Saccharomyces cerevisiae S288C: one gene and its partners. The gene in region 4 interacts genetically with the main gene of each other region. Each region holds a gene or a part of one and is shown on either strand. Other genes may lie near its edges.

Region 1 (5,716 bases), on a different chromosome or scaffold from region 4:
TGCTTAAGCAAATGCGCTTAAAAGCCGAACGCTCTACCAACTGAGCTAACAAGGATGAGTTCTTCGGAGGGCTAACTCATATAAATAACTAATAAAGGCGAAATAGTGGTCACCACCATCACACTACACCCATATCAACGACAAGAGTTTAATTTGACCGTGGAAATTTATTACTGCTGATTTGGGTTCTATGATAAATCCTCGTAACGTAGAGACTATGTTTTTATATGCGCATTAAGTGCCGGAAAACGTGAGAAATAGGCTTTCCGGAGCATCAAACCTGAGGTTTCATAAATTGTGTTCGTGAAGGATGCATTCCAGAGGGCCATCCATCCAGCATAAAAAGAGATCTACAAAGCAATTATGTGGTTTCGCCATTATCCGTAGGATGACCTAAAAAATGGTAATGATTCACGTGATCTAGAAACTTTAACGTGTTATATCATTCAAGGCGTAACTTATACGCGCGGGGTACCCTATCATATCTAACACACGTACCCTGGGTTAATGCCATGATCGTCTTTGATGTATCTCTAATGATCATTATTATTTTTTCTTTTGCTTTTAACATGAGTCAAAGCAATATTCTTATGTTATATAACTCACCCCATGTGCTCGTGGGCAGTGACGCACGCAACTTTTTCTCTTGCAAAAAATGGCATCGATGCTTTTCTGGGGAGGTGATATTAGAGGAGAAGAAGTCACAGAGTGCTCTTGGATCACGATCCCTCACTTGTACTTGTCCACTTATCAGCGCCGTCCAGTTACATTTGGAGAGATCTTTTTTTAGCCTGGCCTTCTTTGCTGTCATACTACTTTATATTCCGGGATAAAATATAAAGAAATATTAGTTAGGAAAAAATTAATAGGGAAGAAAGATCTAGAAGCAAACAGCAATGACTGCCGTCGCCTCTACTAGCGGGAAGCAAGATGCTGACCATAACCAGTCTATAGAGTGTCCAAGGTTTTCGCGTGGACAGAAAGAGATTTTGTTGGACCATGAGGATGCGAAGGGGAAGGATTCAATAATCAACTCCCCCGTGTCAGGGAGGCAATCAATAAGCCCTACTTTGTCGAATGCTACTACCACGACTACGAAATCTATTATGAATGCCACCGGCACCTCCGGCGCAGTAGTAAGTAATACTCCGGAGCCTGGTTTGAAGAGAGTCCCCGCCGTCACTTTCAGTGATCTAAAGCAACAGCAAAAGCAGGATAGTCTGACTCAGCTGAAGAACGACTCAGAAAGGACCAAGTCTCCAAATAGTAATCCTGCTCCTGTCTCAAATTCCATTCCTGGCAATCATGCAGTTATACCGAACCACACCAACACTTCAAGAACAACGCAATTATCTGGGTCTCCACTCGTCAACGAAATGAAAGATTATGATCCTAAGAAAAAAGACAGTGCTCTTAAAATAGTTGATACCATGAAGCCTGACAAAATCATGGCCACTTCAACGCCAATAAGTAGAGAAAATAATAAGGTAACCGCCAAAGCCCCCACCAGTATTACACTTCGAAAGGAAGATGCACAAGATCAAGCTAACAATGTTTCAGGCCAAATTAATGTGCGTTCTACCCCGGAAGAAACGCCAGTGAAGCAGTCCGTCATTCCTTCCATCATCCCCAAAAGAGAGAACTCCAAGAATTTGGATCCCAGACTACCTCAAGATGATGGAAAATTGCACGTGTTGTTTGGCGCTACAGGTTCGTTATCGGTATTTAAGATCAAGCCAATGATTAAAAAACTAGAAGAAATATATGGACGTGATAGAATAAGCATTCAAGTTATCCTCACTCAATCAGCAACACAGTTTTTCGAACAAAGATATACCAAGAAAATTATCAAATCTTCAGAAAAACTAAATAAAATGTCGCAGTACGAATCCACTCCGGCAACTCCAGTGACACCAACACCAGGACAATGCAACATGGCTCAAGTAGTCGAGTTACCCCCACATATTCAACTATGGACCGACCAAGATGAATGGGACGCATGGAAACAACGAACTGATCCTGTACTTCATATAGAACTACGTCGCTGGGCGGATATACTGGTAGTAGCTCCATTAACTGCAAACACATTATCAAAAATTGCTTTGGGCCTGTGCGACAATCTTCTGACAAGTGTCATTAGAGCTTGGAATCCGAGTTATCCCATTCTTTTGGCACCTTCTATGGTGAGTAGCACTTTTAATTCTATGATGACAAAGAAGCAACTACAAACGATAAAGGAGGAAATGTCCTGGGTCACTGTTTTCAAGCCGTCTGAGAAAGTTATGGATATAAATGGTGATATTGGTCTCGGGGGTATGATGGACTGGAATGAGATTGTTAACAAAATCGTTATGAAATTGGGTGGGTACCCAAAAAATAACGAGGAAGAGGACGATGATGAGGATGAGGAAGAAGACGACGACGAAGAAGAAGATACAGAAGATAAGAACGAAAACAACAACGATGATGATGACGATGACGACGATGACGACGACGACGACGACGACGACGACGACGACGACGACGATGATGACGAGGACGAGGACGAAGCAGAAACCCCAGGTATAATAGATAAGCATCAATAAATAGTCTATGAATTACAAATACACTAAACACATTCTACTTATTTGTGTTTTGTAATTTCTGGAAAAATACTCATTAGGCAAATTCACGCAGCATATTTACAAAATGTCACAAATTTTTTTCCTTTTTTACTTGCAGTAGGTATGTAATGCCATACTAGCGTACATAGAGCTCTTCATATAAACCGCTATTTATTACTAATTTTAATAATTCAGTAATTCATTAAATACATTCATTACTTTCTGGGTAAATATCTATTCGTTTCTCATTTTTCTTTTTTTGACATATCCCGGTACCGGAATAAGTCCGATACTATTCAAAAGCTTCTGGAAAAAAAAAATAAAAAAAAGAAATGATTAGTAATCATTTAATTTCATGACATATTAAAAAGGTATTCTAAGCAGAAGTCTTTCATCACATTTGATCTAAGCATATACACTGTAAGTGAAGGTATCGATGTCACAATACAAAACTGGTTTACTTTTAATACATCCGGCGGTGACTACAACGCCAGAGCTAGTAGAGAACACTAAGGCTCAAGCTGCATCAAAGAAAGTCAAGTTCGTGGACCAGTTTTTAATCAATAAACTAAATGATGGGTCCATAACTTTGGAAAACGCAAAATATGAAACAGTACACTATTTGACGCCAGAAGCCCAGACTGATATTAAGTTTCCGAAAAAGTTAATTTCTGTCTTAGCTGACTCATTGAAACCAAACGGCTCACTAATTGGTTTAAGTGATATTTATAAAGTAGATGCATTAATCAATGGGTTTGAAATAATTAACGAACCAGATTATTGCTGGATTAAAATGGATTCCTCTAAACTAAACCAAACTGTTTCTATACCACTGAAAAAAAAGAAAACGAACAATACTAAGCTACAGAGTGGTAGTAAGCTACCAACTTTTAAAAAAGCTAGTTCTTCAACCTCTAATTTACCCTCATTCAAAAAAGCAGATCACAGTAGGCAACCTATAGTTAAGGAAACAGACAGCTTCAAACCACCTAGTTTCAAAATGACCACTGAACCAAAAGTCTACCGAGTCGTAGACGACCTGATTGAGGATAGCGATGATGATGATTTCTCTAGTGACTCTTCCAAAGCCCAATATTTTGATCAAGTGGATACCAGCGATGATTCCATTGAAGAAGAAGAATTAATCGACGAGGATGGTTCTGGTAAGTCAATGATTACTATGATTACATGCGGTAAATCCAAAACTAAGAAGAAGAAGGCTTGTAAAGATTGCACCTGTGGTATGAAAGAACAGGAAGAAAATGAAATAAACGATATAAGATCTCAACAAGATAAAGTTGTCAAATTTACAGAAGACGAGTTGACCGAGATTGATTTCACTATCGATGGGAAGAAAGTTGGCGGCTGTGGTTCTTGTTCTCTAGGGGATGCCTTTAGATGTAGTGGTTGTCCCTACTTGGGTCTTCCTGCTTTCAAGCCTGGTCAACCTATCAATTTGGACAGCATTTCAGATGACTTGTAAACCCTGCACATTCGTTTCAGTAAATGACGTCAATTGGTCTACTTTGGTGAAGGTGAATTTTTTTAGATGCATTGATCGATTGACTTTGGTAGGTTACTAATTTTACCAAAAAGAGTTGGTAGTTTTTATTTTTTTAAATAGAAGAAAACAGGTACTCATTATACCGTGATTACCAATTTCCCAACCCATTATTTAACCCGTTATGTATATTGCATATATTTTGTAAAAGCGTTTAAGCTATTAATAAATCTATCATAACAGTACAGCTCAAAGGCAGGAAAAGATATTCCATAGTAGTCTTTCATGCGTACTTTTCTAACGTTTTAGTAACCGCATCAAATACATCATTCACGATCAAGGTAGGCTTACATTCCTTTAAGTCATCACCTTCGTTATACACACCTGTCTTCACCAAACAACTGTTCCAACCGTAATTTTGAGCTCCAATGATGTCACTTGCAGGATTATCACCTACCATAAAAACCGCATGGAATGGAGAAGTTGAAGGTTTCGTGCCTAAGAGTGGCAGTTTTTGCTTCACAGATTGGCCTATTTTCCCGCTTAGTCTTTTTTCCCAATCAATGAGAACATGATGAGCGAAATCATAAGTCAACTTTGTAGGCTTACCCAAAGTATAATCTTGCAAGGGTTCACCATTTAACTCGAGATAAAGCCTTCTAACTAGTAAGCGGAAGGCACCTTGTCCAAATCTATTCAATTTATAAGGATTGGCCCACAGTAAATCCTGGTTCGAAAAGTAAATGGGGATGGAAGGTTTGCCACTCTTTTCGTTTCTCAAGGTATTTAACATCCCATTTTCGCTGTTGATTGCATCTGAGATGATTTGTATATCGGCAGCCCAATCATGAGGATCGTTAAATACCAAGACGGCATCGAATTTCTTAGTGGTTAAATCTGGAATATCCCTTGAGTACTCCATCACTTGTTCATCAGATAGCCCACTAAATGGTGCAATGTCCCTATTGTATCTTACAATATCCGTTTGGTGAACAACATCTTGAAATCCGTAGCCTTCTGCAACGCCTCTCACGGAAGGTGTACCAACGGCCAAGATCCTTGAATATTTGTTAACAAGGGACTTGTAAGGAGTATGACTTTGAATAATTTGCAAGGGTGATACATCAACGTCCAATTTACTCGAGATAAACTCTGTCCGTGCCCTTTCAGAGAACCCTCCACCATTAGTGAGTAAAATATATGGAATTTTATTTCGGTTCAACAGCTTCAATGCGTCGCTGGCACCAGCAATTGGCTTTTTGCCCCTGAACAACACACCATCAATATCGAATGCAAAAGCAATCTTTTTACTTGTTGTTTGGAAAAACCGTTTGCCAATCATTCTCGCTGCTCTTTTGGCTTGCCAATATTTTGACGACTTGGTTGAAGGACCTTTTCGGGCCTCGGATACGTCCTTTTTGCTCAATATCCAGTGTTGATGAATCTAGAACATAATGCATACACGATTAACCTTAAAACTTTAACGTCAGCGTTTGAATGATATCTTGTCTTTATATACATATTAGTATAACTTAAATAGACTATCTACATCAACCTCAAATTCTCTAAAACCTTCATCAATGACAAATTTTCTTGATTCGTCAAAATTTAT
Region 2 (6,871 bases), on a different chromosome or scaffold from region 4:
GAAACTATTTTACATACAACTGAACAAGTTCGGAACAATCTATCAATAATCTGCACAATTATATAATCCGATATCGACTTCAGCCTTCATATCTGATGAATTATTTGCGATCGATTCACGTTTTTCTTCCAATTCTTGAATATAACCGTCTTCAACACCAGTGACATAATTTCCGGTAAATACACCATCTTCGAATTTGGTTATTTTATCAGTTTTACAACAATCAATCAAATCTTCCAATGATTGGTAAATGACTCTTTCACAACCGATTACTTCCGCCACTTCTTCATCGGTTCTGTTATAAGCAATCAAGTTCTTTGTGTCTGTTAAGTCAATACCATAAATATGGTTGTAACGAATGGCTGGGGCAGCTGAAGCGAAGTAAACCTTTGTTGCACCGGATTCCTTGGCCATGTTAACAATCTCTTTTGAAGTAGTACCTCTGACAATAGAATCATCCACTATCAGAACCTTCTTACCCTTAAATTCAGACTCCATAGGGTTAAGCTTCCTCCTTACTGAAGAAACCCTTTCCCTCTGGTTTGGCATGATAAATGTCCTGCCCACGTATCTGTTTTTAACAAAGCCCTCTCTATAAGGCTTCCCTAACACATTAGCACATTCTAGTGCACATGTTCTTGCAGTATCTGGGACGGGAATAACAACATCAATATCTTCTGGCTTCAGTTGCTTTAGAATATTTTCCGCTAATTTAGAACCCATAGCCAATCTTGTGTGATAAACTGATATTCCATCCAAGACACTGTCCGGTCTGGCGAAATATACGTATTCAAATAAATCAGGTCTATAAGAGTTAATAGGAACCACTTGTTTGAACTCAGGTTCACCTTTGCTACAGTTCTTAGGGATGATAACTGCCTCGCCAGGCTTTAAGTCACGATATTTAGTAAAGTTGTGAGCTTTGAAAACAACACTTTCTGAAGCTAACATATAGTCCTTAGTGCCGTCCGGATTTTCTCTTTCACCGAACAATAATGGCCTAATACCATTTGGATCTCTGAAACCAAATAATGCAAAACCGGCAAGTAAACCAACGCAAGCATAACCGCCACGGCATAAACGGTAAACACCTTCTAACGCGTGGAAAACATCTTCATTGTTAACTCTGTACTTGTTATGTTTTTCCAGTTCAGCAGCAAAAATATTCAATAGTAACTCCGAATCACTGTCCGTGTTAATATGTCTATGAACGTCTTCATCCATATATCTCTTCAATGATGCAGTATTCACCAAGTTACCGTTATGTGCCAAGTTAATACCGTAAGGACTATTGACGTAAAATGGTTGCGCTTCTGAATTAGCCGAAGACCCGGCTGTAGGATATCTCAAGTGGGCAATACCCATGGAACCAGCAAGACCGGAAACACGTTGTTGGGTAAATACGTCACGAGCCATACCATTACCTTTACATTGGTAGATTCTACCACGAGAACCACAGGTAGCTATACCAGCTGCATCTTGTCCACGATGTTGTAGAAAAATGCATCCATCACATAACTCCGGAGCTACTGGAGTGGTTTGGTTTGCTAATACAATACCTAAAATACCACACATTTTTTCTATTCTGCTGTTTGCTGTACCTCTTTCTTTGCTAAACTTATTAGAACGAAATCTACTACTTTCAAGACGATGTCTTCGCAACTATGACTTAAAAGTGAATAAAATTGTACGGTGGCTGTTGAAATTTTTCTAAAATGAAAAAAAAAAAAACGAAGGACTTTACCTTGACTTAATAATAAGAATCTGAAAAGTACAAACCTATTATTGAAATTGTAAGTAAGCAAACTTTAAATACACCGAAGCTCTGACATTTGCCGCATGAGCAGTCATTCGGATTCATGATCCCAGATTATATTTTATTATTCATGTTCGTTCTAACTCTGTCCTGTTATTTTCGGTCAGGAAGAGTCAATACATCGGGTCATTGAAAAACCGCGGAGAAAGATAATAACTTTTCTTTTTTCCTTAAATCTTGAAAAACTTATACATGTATAAATCAATATTTACTTACGAGCGTTCATAGTTCTTGCTGGTCTTTTAGTTCATTCTCTAAATGATCCAGATCTTCTTGTATGGTCCAAAGTTCGCGGTACAATGACCCTGGCATAGCCAACAGTTCAAGATGCTTACCTTCCTCTCTTACTCTTCCGTTGTCAAGGACTATGATCTTGTCTGCATCTGCAATTGTCCTCAGTCTATGTGCGATGTATACACTCGTTCTCGAACCCGAAGTAAAGTTATCTCTAATGGTTCGTAAGAGAGCTTGTTCTGTGTGTGTGTCCAAGGCGCTTGTGGCCTCGTCAAAAAACATGATCCTTGCATTCTTCAATAGTACCCTTGCAATTGCCAGCCTTTGCTTTTCACCACCGCTGATCATCAACCCTCGCTCCCCGACGATGGTGTCAAAACCTTGTGGTAATTTCTTGATTAAGGGTGCTAGCTGGGCTTTTTCAACTACAGTTATCACTTCCTCGTCGGTTGCGTCAATACGACCGAACTTTACATTTTCCCAGATAGTGTCATTGAAAAGTGGTGTGTCCTGTGGTACCACACCAATCACCTTCCTCAAGGCATCGATGTCATATTCTTTAATATCTCTACCGTTTATGAGGATCCTTCCGCTTTCAGGATCATAAAATCTAAAGACTAATTTTAAAATGGTGGACTTCCCACTGCCCGAAGACCCAACTATTGCGGTTTTCCAGCCTGCTGGGATGGTAAAGCTGGCATTCTTTAAAATTTTCCTATCGGGATGATATCCAAACGTGACGTTCTCAAAAGTAATATCGTAGGGAACATTTTCTGGAAGCATTAAGGGACGTTCGGCATTTTTAATCTTGACTTCATTTTTTCTTAACTTAAATAGCGTTTCCATATCAATCAGAGACTGCTTTAAATCTCTGTAAACACTACCAAGAAAATTTAGCGGTACTGATAGTTGAAAAACCAACTGATTAATTAGAACCAAGTCACCAACTGTCAAGTTGCCACCAATAACGCCGGTGCAACCCATATACATCATTGCAGTTAGGGCAGTAGTAAAAATTAGATTTTGGCCGGAGTTCAAAAATGCTAGAGATTGCGATACTTTAATTTGAGAGTCACGATAGTTCATCAAGGAGCCATTATACTTATCTGCAAGATATTTTTCATTGTTGAAGTATTTTACCGCCTCAAAATTAATTAAAGAATCTAAAGCCACACTGGCAGCTTTGTTATCGGCCTTGTTAGCATCCCTTCTAAAATGTGTCCTCCATGCGGTCGTCTTTATAGTGAAAATGGAGTATAAAAGCATTGTACTGAATGTTATTGCGGCAAATGACGCACCGAATTGATACGTCAAAATCCCACAAACGACAGATATTTCAAAACTTATAGGGATAATGTGGAATACCATGGCCGTTAACACTTGAGATATACCCTTTGTACCTCTATCCATGGCCCTCGTCAGACCACCCGTTTGTCTACTCAAGTGCCATCCCAAATCTAACTTCATAAGGTGCTGGAAAGTTTGTAGCGACACAGTTCTAATGGCATTCTGTGCCACTTTGGCAAATACGGCGTTCCTCAGTTCGCCGAATAAAACAGAGCCGAACCTTGCAACACCATAGCAAAGAATGGTTAATCCAATCGCTGCCGGAAGGGCGACTGTAGGATCATCCCATGCTATATTCATTGAATCAATAGTTTGCTTGAAAAAAAAAGGTACTTGAACATTTAAAATTTTGGCGGATATCAACAGTCCAAGGGCAATCAGTACCCTTATCCTCACTTTATTGTTGCCTTTGGGCCAAATATAGCGAAATAGATCTTTCAAGATTTTCAGTTCCGAGAGGGTTGGGGCCTTGCTGGTCTTTTTTACCTGAGTCTTCACTTTTGGAGCCGACGAGAATTGCTCGACGGATTTTTTGTGCGTAATATCCTTTTGTGCTTGATTCCATAAATTCACAGCTGAATTGAATAACAGAGGCCGCTGGGTTGATAACTTAGACACAGTAAATATAACGGGCGAATGGTTCCGGATTAGACCAGATCTAAATTTTGATCTTACAATTCGCCCAATTACAGGACATCTTGGAAGAAGCAGCATTTGCAGGTTGGAGTGGAATCTATCAACAACGATATACTTACGTTGCTCTGTCGCAATTTTCGAAATTGTACTCTTTGCTGTGCTGATTGCTTTGTTTGCGATTATTAATGTAGAAAGTCATCGGAAAGCCCTCGCGCTCTTTCCCAGTGAAATTTCACGTGATGTAATCTGATGAAGGGCACGTATAGGTCAGTGACCTTTGCTGTGCAAATTGGGTAAGGTAATTTCTTTTAAAGACTTTAAGAATGGTAAAGTGAGGTACAACAACATATTATAAGACTTACTTGGTATGTACCTTACCTTCCTTAGATATTTTTCATGCTGCGTAGAAAATTGCACCATCTCCAATCGTCACTTTTATACATTTTCAAAAGAATATAGATGAGTATAGCAATATAGGGTTTACACATATGTACAGAAAAGCAGAATAGTAAGTTTTGTTTCATCACTTAGATAGGTTTTTAATTTCTTCTTCACATTTGGTAATGACTGCATTACTGGCATTGATTTTACCGGATAAATAGTCCAATCTGGTCTTGAAAAGTTTCTGATCAGGAACTTTCCCCAAAGGTTTTAATTCTTCTTCCCATTTCTTGATTCTACCAGTTTCAAAACCCACAACCTTTAATAAGTAACGGGTTTTTAGCACTTTTGCGAGTTCAGGATCGTTGATCAAGTATGTGAATGCTGCCCTGTATAGCGGTTTGGCAGGCCTGATTTCCTGTAAAACACCCCTATCTCTAGATACAGTTATTAAACCATTATTCTCCAATTCCATGATTCCCGTTTCTGGTGCGGCTTTGAATAATGGCTTGTTAACGATTTCATGGAATGGAATGACTGGGTTCGCACTCAATAATTCGATTAATTCCCAGGCTTGTGCACTTTTATTGCTGTCAATCTTGTCACTTAAAAACATTTGAGTTATTTGCTCAGAAGCCTGTTCAATCATTTTGTCTACTGCTTCCGAGGGCTCTTCTCCTGACTTTACCCTTCTTACAAATGCCTGTAAGTCTAACATCCTACCACCCAATGGCTCTAAAGAAGCGTCAATTTCCTGTAATTCCTTTTCATTTAAAATAACCTCAGCTTTTTTGACACTCGTATCGGCCTCACTATCAGAATCATTATTTTCAGCAGTTTCCTTTTCTGATTCAGGTTCTTTTACGTTTTCACCCTTGGATTTTTTATTGTAATATAAGTAATCCTCCAATTGGGATAATACATAGTTCCTCGAATTCTCTTTTGAGGCATCTGATAGGATTAGGTTTTTGAAGACTTGATTGGGTAGTGATTCGCTCAATCTTTGGTTGGATGCAACGGTTTCCGTTAAGAAAATCACATGAGCAATATTCATTTGAACTAGCATAGCTGCCCAATCGGATAGTTCCTTATACACAAATCCATTTATTTCCGACTTGCCCTCAAACCTATCTATGACGATAACGGGTTTAGCTTCCGGATGTTGCTGTAGGTAATCTTCTTCCTTAACATTAACTGTCCCATCACCGGTGGAAACAAAAGCCTTGTAATTCTTGAGAGCAATACGTCTAATGGACATCAATGAGGTAGTTAACATGTTTCTAAACCGAGATTCCTTCGTCTCAGACAACCCAGTTTTTTGCCCTGTTAATCCTTGCACTGTTAAATCAAGGACACCTGTGACAGAGTCAATCCATGGGAATATTGGGAAATAACCCAATTGACTAGCGGCATTTTTTAAAAACATAGGATCTGTTCTGGACTTAATCAATTTATCACAATCCAAATACAAAACATTTGCTCTATTTTGCAAAGTGTGTTGCATGACCAAATCATGTTTCCCTGAACCTCTAGGCCCCCTTATAACCACAAAAGTATTATTATTTTCTTCAAGCCACATTTTCAGGTCATTCACTTTCTCTATTCTTTCCTCCCATAAATGCTTTCTTTGGTGATTATCATCAGGGCCGCCCCAGTAGTACTTGATAGAAGTCATGGTAGATGAGGTTAGCGTTTTCAGTTGTTTCCAAAACTTATTGTCCCACGATAAAGAATATTTGTGAGTGATCTTCTGTTCAATCGAAAATTCTCTTATAGGATCAAACACTAAAACAGCAAAGATTGAAAGTAGCGCAAATAAAACTGGAATAGCAATCCTTGTATGGTTGGTGAAAAAATTACTAACTAGATGGCCTCTTCTGATATTTTCGTATTGTATGTGTAAGACGGTATTATGAATTTCGATACCGGAAACACAATTCTTGGCAGAAATGGCACCACGGAATGAACGGTATCTTACCTTTGCCACATTGTTGTTAGCAGCAGTGGGAGGGAAAATATCAATAATTGTCCCATATCTTCTGAATAAAGAGTATATTTCTTCTTCTGTTAAGGCGGGCCCTTGGAACTTGATGACTATAGTGGTACTTGGTAGTCTTCTTAAATCCTCAATCCAAGGCGAACCCTTTACTGGGAAGGCAGAAGCTCGAGTGAAGTACGAGAGTAAGTTTTTAGAGGATTCTCTGGCTGTATTCTGTTGGATTAGAGAATTTACCTGAGCTTTTGTATACTTGGGTGGAACGACAAATGTGGCAAATACACCACCATCCCTTTTCACTGGAATGGTAGACTTCAACTCCAGTCCATAAATGGGGTTATTGGGTGGACTGGCTAAATTCCTTATTTTCTCCCTCACTGCATCCCGTGACTGGTTTCTTAGCAGGAGATTGTACCACAGTGTTGGATTCCAAACCGAGGTGGTTCTAGCGTAAACATTAT
Region 3 (6,216 bases), on a different chromosome or scaffold from region 4:
CGATTTCTACACCTTGAAAAGGGCTTACAACTCTCAAAAGTGTATCAGAGCTGGTGGTAAACACAACGATTTAGAAGATGTCGGTAAGGATTCTTATCATCATACCTTTTTTGAAATGCTGGGTAACTGGTCGTTTGGCGACTATTTCAAGAAGGAAGCTATTACTTACTCATGGACTTTGTTGACTGAAGTATACGGCATTCCAAAGGATAGATTATACGTTACCTATTTTGAAGGTGATGAAAAGTTAGGCTTGGAACCTGATACTGAAGCCCGTGAACTATGGAAAAATGTTGGTGTTCCCGATGACCATATATTACCTGGTAATGCAAAGGACAACTTTTGGGAAATGGGTGACCAAGGCCCATGTGGTCCTTGTTCTGAAATTCACTACGATAGAATAGGTGGTAGAAATGCTGCTTCCTTGGTTAATATGGACGACCCTGATGTCTTGGAAGTTTGGAATTTGGTTTTCATTCAATTCAACAGAGAACAAGACGGGTCTTTGAAGCCTTTACCTGCCAAGCATATCGACACAGGTATGGGGTTCGAAAGATTGGTTTCTGTTCTGCAAGATGTTAGATCTAACTATGATACCGATGTTTTCACACCTTTGTTCGAGCGTATCCAAGAAATCACTTCAGTTAGACCATATTCTGGCAATTTTGGTGAGAATGACAAGGACGGTATCGATACTGCCTACAGAGTTTTAGCTGATCATGTCCGTACATTGACTTTTGCCTTAGCTGACGGTGGCGTTCCAAACAATGAAGGTAGAGGATATGTTTTGAGACGCATTCTAAGAAGAGGTGCCCGTTACGCCCGTAAATACATGAATTACCCAATCGGTAACTTTTTCTCCACTTTGGCTCCAACTTTAATTTCTCAGGTTCAAGATATCTTTCCCGAATTAGCCAAGGATCCTGCATTCCTCTTTGAAATCTTGGATGAAGAAGAAGCTTCTTTCGCTAAGACCTTGGATCGTGGTGAAAGACTATTTGAAAAATATGCTTCTGCTGCTTCTAAGACTGAATCTAAGACTTTAGACGGTAAACAAGTTTGGAGACTTTACGACACTTATGGTTTCCCAGTCGACTTGACTGAATTGATGGCTGAAGAACAAGGCTTGAAGATTGATGGACCCGGTTTCGAAAAGGCCAAACAAGAGTCATACGAAGCATCCAAAAGAGGTGGTAAGAAGGACCAAAGTGATTTGATTAAGTTAAACGTCCATGAATTATCCGAGTTGAACGATGCTAAGGTGCCCAAGACTAATGATGAATTCAAATACGGCAGCGCCAACGTCGAAGGTACCATTTTGAAACTGCATGACGGTACCAACTTTGTTGATGAGATCACTGAACCAGGTAAGAAGTACGGTATTATTTTGGATAAAACATGTTTCTACGCCGAACAAGGTGGTCAAGAATATGACACTGGTAAAATTGTTATTGATGACGCTGCTGAGTTTAATGTTGAAAATGTTCAATTGTATAACGGTTTTGTTTTCCACACCGGGTCTTTAGAAGAAGGTAAGTTGTCTGTCGGTGACAAGATTATCGCTTCATTCGATGAACTACGTCGTTTCCCTATTAAGAACAATCATACTGGTACACATATCTTAAACTTTGCTCTGAAGGAAACTTTGGGTAATGATGTCGATCAAAAGGGTTCTTTGGTTGCCCCAGAAAAATTGAGATTCGATTTCTCTCATAAAAAGGCTGTGTCAAATGAAGAATTGAAAAAAGTTGAAGATATCTGTAATGAGCAAATTAAAGAAAACTTACAAGTGTTTTACAAGGAAATTCCATTGGACTTGGCCAAATCCATTGATGGTGTTCGTGCTGTCTTTGGTGAGACTTACCCAGATCCAGTTCGTGTAGTTTCTGTTGGTAAGCCAATCGAAGAATTGTTGGCCAACCCAGCTAACGAAGAGTGGACCAAGTATTCTATTGAATTTTGCGGTGGTACCCATGTCAACAAGACAGGCGATATTAAATACTTCGTCATTTTAGAAGAGAGCGGTATTGCAAAGGGTATCAGAAGAATTGTTGCTGTTACTGGAACTGAAGCCTTTGAAGCTCAAAGATTGGCTGAACAGTTTGCTGCTGATTTGGATGCTGCAGACAAGCTGCCGTTCTCTCCAATCAAAGAAAAGAAGTTGAAGGAACTTGGTGTCAAACTTGGTCAACTTTCAATTTCTGTTATCACAAAAAATGAACTGAAGCAGAAATTTAACAAAATTGAAAAAGCAGTGAAGGATGAAGTTAAGTCAAGGGCCAAAAAAGAAAACAAACAAACTCTTGATGAAGTGAAGACATTTTTCGAAACCAATGAGAATGCTCCATACCTAGTTAAATTCATTGATATTTCTCCAAATGCTAAAGCTATCACTGAAGCGATCAACTACATGAAATCCAATGATTCTGTCAAAGACAAGTCAATCTATTTATTGGCAGGTAATGACCCTGAAGGTCGTGTTGCTCACGGTTGTTACATCTCCAATGCTGCTTTAGCCAAGGGTATTGATGGTTCTGCGCTTGCCAAAAAGGTGTCCAGTATCATCGGCGGTAAGGCTGGTGGTAAAGGTAATGTTTTCCAAGGTATGGGTGATAAACCAGCCGCTATAAAGGATGCAGTTGATGATTTGGAAAGTTTGTTCAAGGAGAAGCTTTCCATTTAAGAAGTTAAAATAAAACGAAAAATAATGCATAGGAGTTCTTTTTGTTTATTTTGCTCTTAATAAAAAAGTGTCATTGTATAATTAGTCTTAGTTTAATTATTTATGTTTTTACAAGGACAAAAGATTTGCTGTTAAAAAGAGTTTTAAATACCCTTTTTTCTTACATATGTATATATACAGGTTTATGCTAATAATATTGTATAGTTTATCATGATAATCGCCTTTCAATTTTTCTTGTCTTCTATCAACCATTTCCAAATCATATCTCTGTTCTGCTTGTTCTTAATATCATTCTCCATGTTAAATTTCTTCACCTTTGAAAAACCTTTATTAATCTTATTATTCGACAGGTTAGCCTTATTAGTGTAGCTGCTGCCATAAAGTAGCACTCCCAACCGCTGCTTGGTTGATTTCCACCACTTCCGCCTTCGCTTTAGTTTATTTGTCAGGGCAATAGACGCTGATGTTTTAGGATACACACTGGAGTTTGCGGGTGAGTTTGGATACATGGTCATCTTTGTCACGGATCTTAAAGAATTAAAATTTTTCTTGGTGATATAAAGGGCAGAAACAATAGAAAATACCGCCACTGAAGTAAACCCCCATTCACTCTCCTCGATGAAATTCTTTAAATTCATACCATAGAATGCCGGCAGAACAGATGCTACTGTGAATCCCAACGTGTAGATGGTAACTTTCAACTCCAACAACATTAAGGAATTTCTATTTGCGTCCAATATGATGTTGACAATTTCTTCAGTAGATTTGATATCCTGAATCAAAGATTCTGATTGCTGAACGTATTCATCACATTGGGTGTAGTACGTCTCTATAAGCATTTCCAAGTCCGAAAAATTGTCCTTAGGAGACTTCTTAACTGTCAAGTACATGTTTGCTAAATCATCGTCGTTTTCTAATAGTTCATCTAATAGATCTCTAATCAATAAAGTTTTTTGGTAAAAAAGCGTAAGATCTTTGGACTTAATTAAAAGATGCCGCAGTTTAAGTCTATTGACCTCGTTTTCCAGATCATTTAAGATTTGAATACAGATTTGTGAGTGAAGCTTGAAATCTGTTTCCAGTGCGCTCATTACGTTGATGAAAATACTCTCGAGGGCTCTATGCTCGTAAAATTGAGAGTTATTCTTGGTGGAGGACAACTTAGACTCCAAGTCATACATAAGTACACTCAGTTTGGCAGCGGCGGAAGGGTTTGTTGTATCGAAGACGTAGACCTTATCTCGTTCGATAAGAGCTTTGATATGCAATAAGTTGATGACAATACAGTTTGGCTTACACATGATGGTTGGAATAATATCAATAGAGGAGTTATCTATTTTCCTCAGGTCTCTGGGGAAAAGGGAATGTTCAGTTAAAAAGGACCATTTAGGAAACTTCTCGGACATTGAGATAATATTTCCCTTAGAATTGAATACCGTACACGAAATGAACAGTGAATCAGAGGCAGAAATGGGCTTCAACGATAGTAACTGTTTCCGCAATATGGTGCTGTTGGTGTTTGCAGCAGTGGATGTGTCAGCATACTTTCTAAGAAATGGCGTGTTTGGTCTTCCAAAAGTTATTCTCGACAAAGGTTGGAAACAAGATATAGAACGTACCAGGAGACGCCGATTCATGAGATGCTTGATTGAAAATCACTTTCACTACGATTGCGTATACCGTTACTGTTAGCCTTGGTGCGATCTTGAGCCCTATTGTTCTATCATAATGCTGCAAAAAAAAAAAAAAAAAAAAAAAAGAAGAAAAAAAAAAAGAGACAAAAGACTGGACCACCACAGAGGAAAGAACAACATACAAAAAAAAATCTGTTAGGAGTGTATATGTAAGTATGTAGGTATACAAGCTGCTGGTCGATCAATCAAAGAACTTTCTTGTCTTGGAAGGACCATACAATTCCAATCTGATGGCGGGCAATGCCTCTTCACTTAACAATTTCAATCTTTCCTCCAAAGTGTTGTTAATTTCAATCTTGTCTGATGCATTGGAGACCACAACACCGCCGGAAACAAGGTCTTTGTTCAAGTAATCATTGGAGATAACAATCTCTTCCAATGGTGCGCGCTGGGCCTTTTCCCCATACTCACGCATAATGTCGTCCTTCATCGACTCGATTAAATCGACGTCTCTTTCAAGAGCCTTGACAATCGCCTTAGGTTCCAACAACTTCAAAAGTGCCTCCACGATCAATGATTGCAAAATGGGCTTGTACTCGTCCCGGTTGTTGGCAATTCCTGACAACTTTTCCTTGGTTTCCTCGAATATCCCGTCTAGCGACTGTTCACGAGCAGAAAGAACCTTCAACCTCATTTTGTTTGCTATCGTTGACTTAGTAATCTGTTGCGAAAGCATGGCCTTCTTCAACTTGCTCTTGAAGTTGCCGTCAATGTTGTTGGTTTCATTTCTTACGATGTTGGTCTTCTCGATTTCGTACTCTTGGTCAGCCTTCAATTGGATTTCCTTCGCTTTTTCTTCAGCTTCCTTTCTGATGAAAGCTTGCATCTTGTTCAATTCATCGTTCACTTGGTTTGGTGTCAAAGCAGTAATAGCGGAGGACATGCTGTATCGGATGGTGCGTGGCCTGTTCTGTGCCTCTTTTGTAAAACAGTTACAAACAACTTTTCTTGCAACTGCTATTGTTCTTTGCTGATATATAGCGTGAGTTCTTATCGAAATGGCCGCTTTCGCCCCTCTCCGTGGCGGGTGACCTCGGGCGCACTTTTAGCCGATACTCAGTAAACAACAATAGGTATGGACTACGAAAGAACGGTTCTAAAGAAGAGGTCGAGATGGGGATTATATGTAGTTGTTGAGCAACGAGGGACAAGTATGACGAAATTGATGGTTAGATCTGAATGCATGCTGCGAATGGTGCGGCGGCGGCCGCTGCGTGTGCAGTTTTGTGCTCGATGGTTCTCCACAAAGAAGAATACCGCAGAAGCACCCAGGATTAATCCTGTGGGGATACAGTATTTAGGTGAGTCTTTGCAAAGACAGGTATTTGGTAGTTGCGGTGGTAAAGATGAGGTGGAGCAAAGCGACAAACTTATGGAGTTATCGAAAAAGTCGCTAAAGGACCATGGGTTGTGGGGGAAGAAGACGCTCATCACGGATCCAATATCGTTTCCTCTGCCGCCACTACAAGGCAGGTCGCTAGATGAGCATTTCCAGAAGATTGGGCGTTTCAATTCTGAACCGTACAAGAGTTTTTGCGAGGACAAGTTCACGGAGATGGTGGCACGACCGGCGGAATGGCTGCGGAAGCCAGGCTGGGTTAAATACGTACCTGGAATGGCACCCGTCGAAGTGGCATACCCAGACGAAGAGCTGGTGGTGTTTGATGTAGAAACACTCTATAACGTCTCTGACTATCCGACTTTGGCCACGGCCTTGTCATCGACGGCGTGGTACCTTTGGTGTTCGCCGTTCATATGTGGTGGTGATGATCCTGCTGCACTGATACCCCTAAACACATTGAATAAAGAGCAAGTAATAATTGGTCACAATGTTGCGTA
Region 4 (5,489 bases):
AATTGTTGCCCCGAAATGCTGAAATGGTATTTTCATAGGGTACCCGTCAAGGTTAATAACGCCCTTAAAAGTTGAGATATCAACTACTTGATATTTGTCTGAATTGGTCAAATAGCTTATTATGGAAGATCCTGGGATAAATGTTGCAATTCCAGTTTCGTTGGCACCATAACTTGGGCTTGACACCACCAAATCAGGAATCTTATCATCATAAAAATTACCTGTTACAGCAAATTGTAACTGATGTGCTTCTTCGGTGGTCTCATCCTTGATTGTCAGTATTTTTACTCCTTTGAAGTAAAAGTCGATTGTACAGGTACCAGGCTGTGAAACGAGTAGGTAGTCAACATCACTTGCCTTGTATGTCCCGACCTTTGAACCGTACATGGCAGTGATGGGTTGTAAAATGCTAAAATCCTCTTTTCTTGCTACAGTTAGAATATCCCATGGAACTATATAGATTGCACCAACTGTGTCTTCAAGTGGTGCACTTACAGCGAGATAATCCTTGTTGTCTTCTCGAAATTTTCCCATAGTCAGGCTTGTGCCAAAATCGGAAAATGATTTCATGGGAGATACGACAATGTGGCTATTTCCCTTACGTGCTTTTAATGAAGAGACCAAAGGTCGTGCATTTATCCGTTTTTGTGATACTGGCGGTAAATTAGCACATAATCTCAGTTCTTCTGCTTGAGCTTCATTAGTATTCTCGTCATGAAACAAAGTCTCGAAGAAAGGCACGCATCTTTGGAGCATTGCAACCAAATTGGACTGCCCTCCTAGCCAATGATTCAGTATTAGATCATTAGCCCTGGGGGATGTTGAGTAAATATTAGTTAACAATTGGTTTCTTTGAGAGCGGAATAGGTACCCTTCACTAATAGCCGCTGCCATTCCTCTTTTAACGCAAAATTCCAGTTCTGCGTAGGACAACTTTTCCTTTGAAAGTCCAGCGTTCCTTATAATTTCCATTAAATCCTCTTCTCTGGGCAATTTCCAATCAGAGCGAGTTAAAAAATCCCAATTTTCGTTATTATTACTGTCACGGATTACATTATTTAAGGTGAGGAATTCACCCATAACGTCTAAAAACGTATGAGCAGTTTCAATATCTCCATCAAATTCTGTTTCGCTGAGAACTCGGAGTAGTCCGTGCATTCTATAATCGGTAACTAACGAATGCCAGGAAACATCAACTATCTGATGAGTGAATACCCCTATTAAAAATGACTTTAGTGCGAGTGAGCCGTGAGTTCCCCGAAGTCGATCGTTCTGACCATACTTTTGCTGCCAATAAGATACTGCAATCATTAAGAAATTGGGCCAATGAGTGAATTCTGCAAAATCAGACCAATCCTTATTTGAAGGTGCACATGAGTACAAAGCATCCGGAAAGAAAGAACCAGCTTTCAACCAAGGATAATAGTTTTCCTTTAAACTTAAGGGAGCACCTCTTGTTAAATAAAATAGATGGGTAGTAACTCCAGCAGCTTGCAATTTTGTTACAATAGAAGTAGTTAAGCAAATAATAGAGACAAGTAACCAAGAACTAATTATACTCATCTTTATTTAATTCCCTCTGAATACATGTTTCTAACTAACTAACCAAGGAGGGCGCTTGAATGAATCTTTTTTTTTTTTAGAAATAGATTTACCACTCTTAGAGTTTCCGCTATAAATAATGGCAGCTTGCCTGCGTCCGAAATACCCTTTGGGTATACTAAACATAGATATATAAAGTAATGAAGAAAAAATGAAAACTTTTCGTTGAGGGAAAGAGCTCAAGCTTTGGGATTATCAAATTAAATTTGTATATATAAATGTACATAAAGTCACAACAGGAAAATGATAATATACACATAATCTTCTGAGATGCAAAATGAATGGAAAATAATATGACATGTAAGAACCAACTAATACGTCATTAGGAAATGTTTTGCACATTCATAAGCTGTCCATGATATAGCAGTAGCCGGCATGTTTGCCACTATCCTTGGTTTCCAACCTCTCCAAAACCCTTTCCAGCCATAAACTTGATATATGGCACTGGCTGCTTTACTAAAAGTATCCGCCTTTCTCATAATTTCCAACGAAACTGTTTGACTGCCCCTTATCTGCAGTACTGTCTTTATGCAGTCTAAAGGTGTTGTGATCGCCGCACATGTCGATCCGCTGATACTGCCACACAGACAATGTATGAGGGGGTTGTACTCATTTGATGGGTTTAAAAATTTTGTGGATGATTCATATATGACGAAATTAAATGCTGCAAATGGGATGTTCATTACTAGGGTGGTTGGGTAAGAATAATAAAATGCTGCCAAACCTTCAGATTGGTAAATCTGCTTTGTGGTTTGCCATACTGATGCCGAGGTATTGAGTTGGATTCTCTGTTTTATTGTGTCGAATGGGTTCATTAATGCGTCAGATGCCGTGGTGGCACAGGCACCACTGATAGCTGTCTTAAAAGGATGGTGCGTTTGCGTATCACTCGAATCGATAAGATTTTTTTTGCAGAACTCATACGTACCAAAATACACTGCATGCGCAGGTCCCGCACCTAGTATGACAGACTGAACACCCTTCCATAGGGCTAGAGTTCCTTCGGAAGTAGAGATGTGAGATATTTGCGAAAGCATATTCTTGGCAGACAGCGATTTCGCGTTGGCTGATTGTATTCGCGTCTTAAGGGCATCTATCGGGAACATCACTGAATGTTCCATTATACCAGCAAATGCACCCGCTATAAGTTGATGGTACAATGGCGCGTGGGTGGGGAGCGCCTCATAATCGGGTAGATCCATAGGTATTGCTGGAATTGGCCTTGTTGAATTATTACTCGACGAGTTTTCTACCATAATATCTTCTTTTTTTATAACATAAATATATTTACAGCAAACCTTAAGAGGTGTTAACGAATATGGGAATCGTGATTAATTAAGTGAAGTTACGATCCCAAGATAAAATAAGGAAGTTGTTGAAAGAGGAAAGAATCGATGAAGAAATGAACGACAAAATTACTTTTGTCAATTGTAGGGTACGAAACACCAAGAAATGCAATAAGTGCTATGTAAAGGTGATCCAGTCTTGGTTAGCACACACGCCCAGTTTCTCGAGAGACATAATGACAGTAAACGGTGAGTATAAAAAAAAAGCAAAAAAAAAAGAAAAAAGGAGCAATCGTTCGTTACAAACGATCTAGACTTGATGAAAAAAAACCCTAAAATGTCTCAGACCTAAAACAAAACCCTAAGAAGCACGTGATACAAACCTGTCACGTGCAACATTATGGGGTATGGGTGTGTCACACATTTGAAAAAAAGTGGGCGGAACGTGTGTGGGGGGGTGTCATGCCATTTCCACATTTGGTTGCTCTGGAGATAAGATCCACGAATGAAGGTGAGGGGCATGACTTCAGGGATCAATTTCCCGCCCGCAAGTTAGTTTTTCCGGTGGGAGCCGAGCATCAAGCATGACCACTTCCTGGTGCAGAGAGAAAGTTTCACACATATAAAAGAATAAACCGAAAGTAATGTAGGGAGATGTTTAATGTGATTTTTCACCTTTGTTTTAATGATTACGCACAAGTTTAAATATTACATTCATAAGACAGTAAATAAACGTATTAAATGATCGCCCAAAGTACCAGATTAGCCGCCGCCGTCTCTTCTTCAGCCGCCTCCGCGGGTGTCTCAAGGATAGCCGCTAGCGCCATGGCCAGCACTATTTTCAAGAGATCTCCGGGCAACTCGTTCAACTCTTTTAAGGAATATAGAGAAAATGCCAAGACATATGGTCCCTTGAGTGCCTCACTAGCTACCAGAAGACACTTGGCTCACGCGCCAAAGTTGTAGGCGTATCTTAATTATGCTCTTTTCTTTCCTGGTTTATTAATGATGATGACTTTAACCTATTCTTCTTTTGGGGTCCTGGTACGGTGCCTCAAATTTTTATACAACATGACTTTTTCAGTTACATATTTTTTTATAAGTACTTAATTTAGAAACGGATACATTTACACTACATTTTGTCTATTTTTTTTTTTTTGTTCCTTTTGTTTTATGCTATATTTAAGAGGGAAAATAGGACGGGGCTGCACATTACAACGGTGAATGGAACGCCAGCATAGATAATAAATCTACCTAGAATGTCAATCTTGGGCTCTCCAATATATAATGGACATTCGTACTTGCTTGCACCTTCTTTGTGCGTGGCCTCCAGTCTTTTTCTTGCCGCAACGTTTCTGTCATCCTTCAGATGGAAAACTTTGATCAATAACGTGTAGATCATCGGTTTGCTGATCACGTACTTCCAGATAACAACGCACGGTAGGCCCACCAGCAGCCTGGCTAAGGTTAACCGCCAGCCACAGTTAGGTTCCAAATTGTACACCAGGGTGACTCCAAACACTTTGCCCAACCAATCACAGCATTCAATACCTGACACAACGCCCATGAACGCAACACTATCTTGGAAGCAAGGACATTCGTCTACGGGCTTAACATGTTTAAACAAAAGAAGAAGACCCCATCCCACACTAAACAAAGGAAACCACCAATGCTCCTCAATGCGTAAACCCGGAAACCTGTACTTGAAATACATCCTAACAATGAAACACACTATTCCAATGAGCCCACCGCTTACTAAATCTAATATGCCATGCATCCCACAGTATATTCTACCGAAAACCAAAGTCATATAATAAAATAAAACCACACATGACAACAATAGTTGGACCATGACAGAAGATTCTTGCATCCTCCAGATGTTGTAGAGAAACAAGAGACTCACTCCTGTTGCATTTGCTGTATGGGAGCTTGGAGCACCATATTCCTTCGTTGTATATTCACTTAACGTAATTCGATGTAATGGAGGTGCTCTAGGCCTGGGCAAGCACCAGTAATCTTTAAAAAAACCACTCAAGTAGATAGAATATCCCAAGATATAAACCATATCTTTTGTTGTTTCAAAATATCCAAACCACACGGGCATAGGTAAACACAGAACATAGAAGGTATGCGATCCCATTAAGGAAGTATAAGTAAAGTAGAGATCATTAAACGCAGAACGGTACTTCTTTTGCCAGCGGCTTAATGTGAATGATTGATTGTTGGTAAACACTAACAGCTTCTCTCTAATATTAAACCGAAATTTGGACATTCGAGTTCGAAAATGATCTGAGGGATGATTACCGGGATCCAGCAAGTAATTAGGCTCTTGAAAGTCATTGGGGTTAGAGAGAGTCCTGGCTCTTTTCCTAATGTTCGAGGTATTCAGTCCATCTACCATTTTTTATCTATACAAATGGCTTGTGTCCGCTGGTCTGGTAGGTTTGAAGAATTTCCTCTACGTGATGGTTGTATGTAAACAAACTTTCTTAAACTCTGCTTTTTCTTACTGCCCTTATAATGTGACGACAACTTTAGCGCAAGGTGAGGGAAAAACAAAACAGCCAAGCGTAGTTCAGTCACATGATAAAGGCAGTAGTT

Evidence for each region.
Region 1: mutations in MRS3 (region 4) and DRE2 are lethal when combined (synthetic lethality), as found in Saccharomyces cerevisiae (one study listed by BioGRID).
Region 2: of MRS3 (region 4) and ATM1, extra expression of one is lethal in a mutant of the other (dosage lethality), as found in Saccharomyces cerevisiae (one study listed by BioGRID).
Region 3: of MRS3 (region 4) and MRS2, extra expression of one rescues a mutant of the other (dosage rescue), as found in Saccharomyces cerevisiae (2 studies listed by BioGRID).

Annotation. Positions count from the first base shown.
Region 1 is NC_001143.9:573,304-579,019, reverse strand, and holds DRE2 (electron carrier DRE2), read left to right. Parts: upstream 1-3,039; coding exon 3,040-4,086; downstream 4,087-5,716. Other genes in the region: YKR073C (uncharacterized protein), read left to right, coding at 513-833; phosphopantothenoylcysteine decarboxylase complex subunit SIS2, read left to right, coding at 897-2,585; YKR070W (uncharacterized protein), read right to left, coding at 4,388-5,446; MET1 (uroporphyrinogen-III C-methyltransferase), read right to left, coding at 5,627-5,716. UniProt on the Saccharomyces cerevisiae protein: Component of the cytosolic iron-sulfur (Fe-S) protein assembly (CIA) machinery required for the maturation of extramitochondrial Fe-S proteins.
Region 2 is NC_001145.3:865,517-872,387, forward strand, and holds ATM1 (ATP-binding cassette Fe/S cluster precursor transporter ATM1), read right to left. Parts: upstream 4,112-6,871; coding exon 2,039-4,111; downstream 1-2,038. Other genes in the region: ADE4 (amidophosphoribosyltransferase), read right to left, coding at 43-1,575; YME2 (Yme2p), read right to left, coding at 4,557-6,871. UniProt on the Saccharomyces cerevisiae protein: Performs an essential function in the generation of cytoplasmic iron-sulfur proteins by mediating the ATP-dependent export of Fe/S cluster precursors synthesized by NFS1 and other mitochondrial proteins. Hydrolyzes ATP.
Region 3 is NC_001147.6:942,700-948,915, reverse strand, and holds MRS2 (Mrs2p), read right to left. Parts: upstream 4,321-6,216; coding exon 2,908-4,320; downstream 1-2,907. Other genes in the region: ALA1 (alanine--tRNA ligase), read left to right, coding at 1-2,683; VMA4 (H(+)-transporting V1 sector ATPase subunit E), read right to left, coding at 4,559-5,260; DNA-directed DNA polymerase gamma MIP1, read left to right, coding at 5,531-6,216. UniProt on the Saccharomyces cerevisiae protein: High-conductance magnesium-selective channel that mediates the influx of magnesium into the mitochondrial matrix.
Region 4 is NC_001142.9:157,988-163,476, reverse strand, and holds MRS3 (Fe(2+) transporter), read right to left. Parts: upstream 2,859-5,489; coding exon 1,914-2,858; downstream 1-1,913. Other genes in the region: YJL132W (uncharacterized protein), read right to left, coding at 1-1,563; DPI8 (Dpi8p), read left to right, coding at 3,630-3,854; sphinganine kinase LCB3, read right to left, coding at 4,060-5,289. UniProt on the Saccharomyces cerevisiae protein: MRS3 suppresses a mitochondrial splice defect in the first intron of the COB gene. It may act as a carrier, exerting its suppressor activity via modulation of solute concentrations in the mitochondrion (possibly of cations).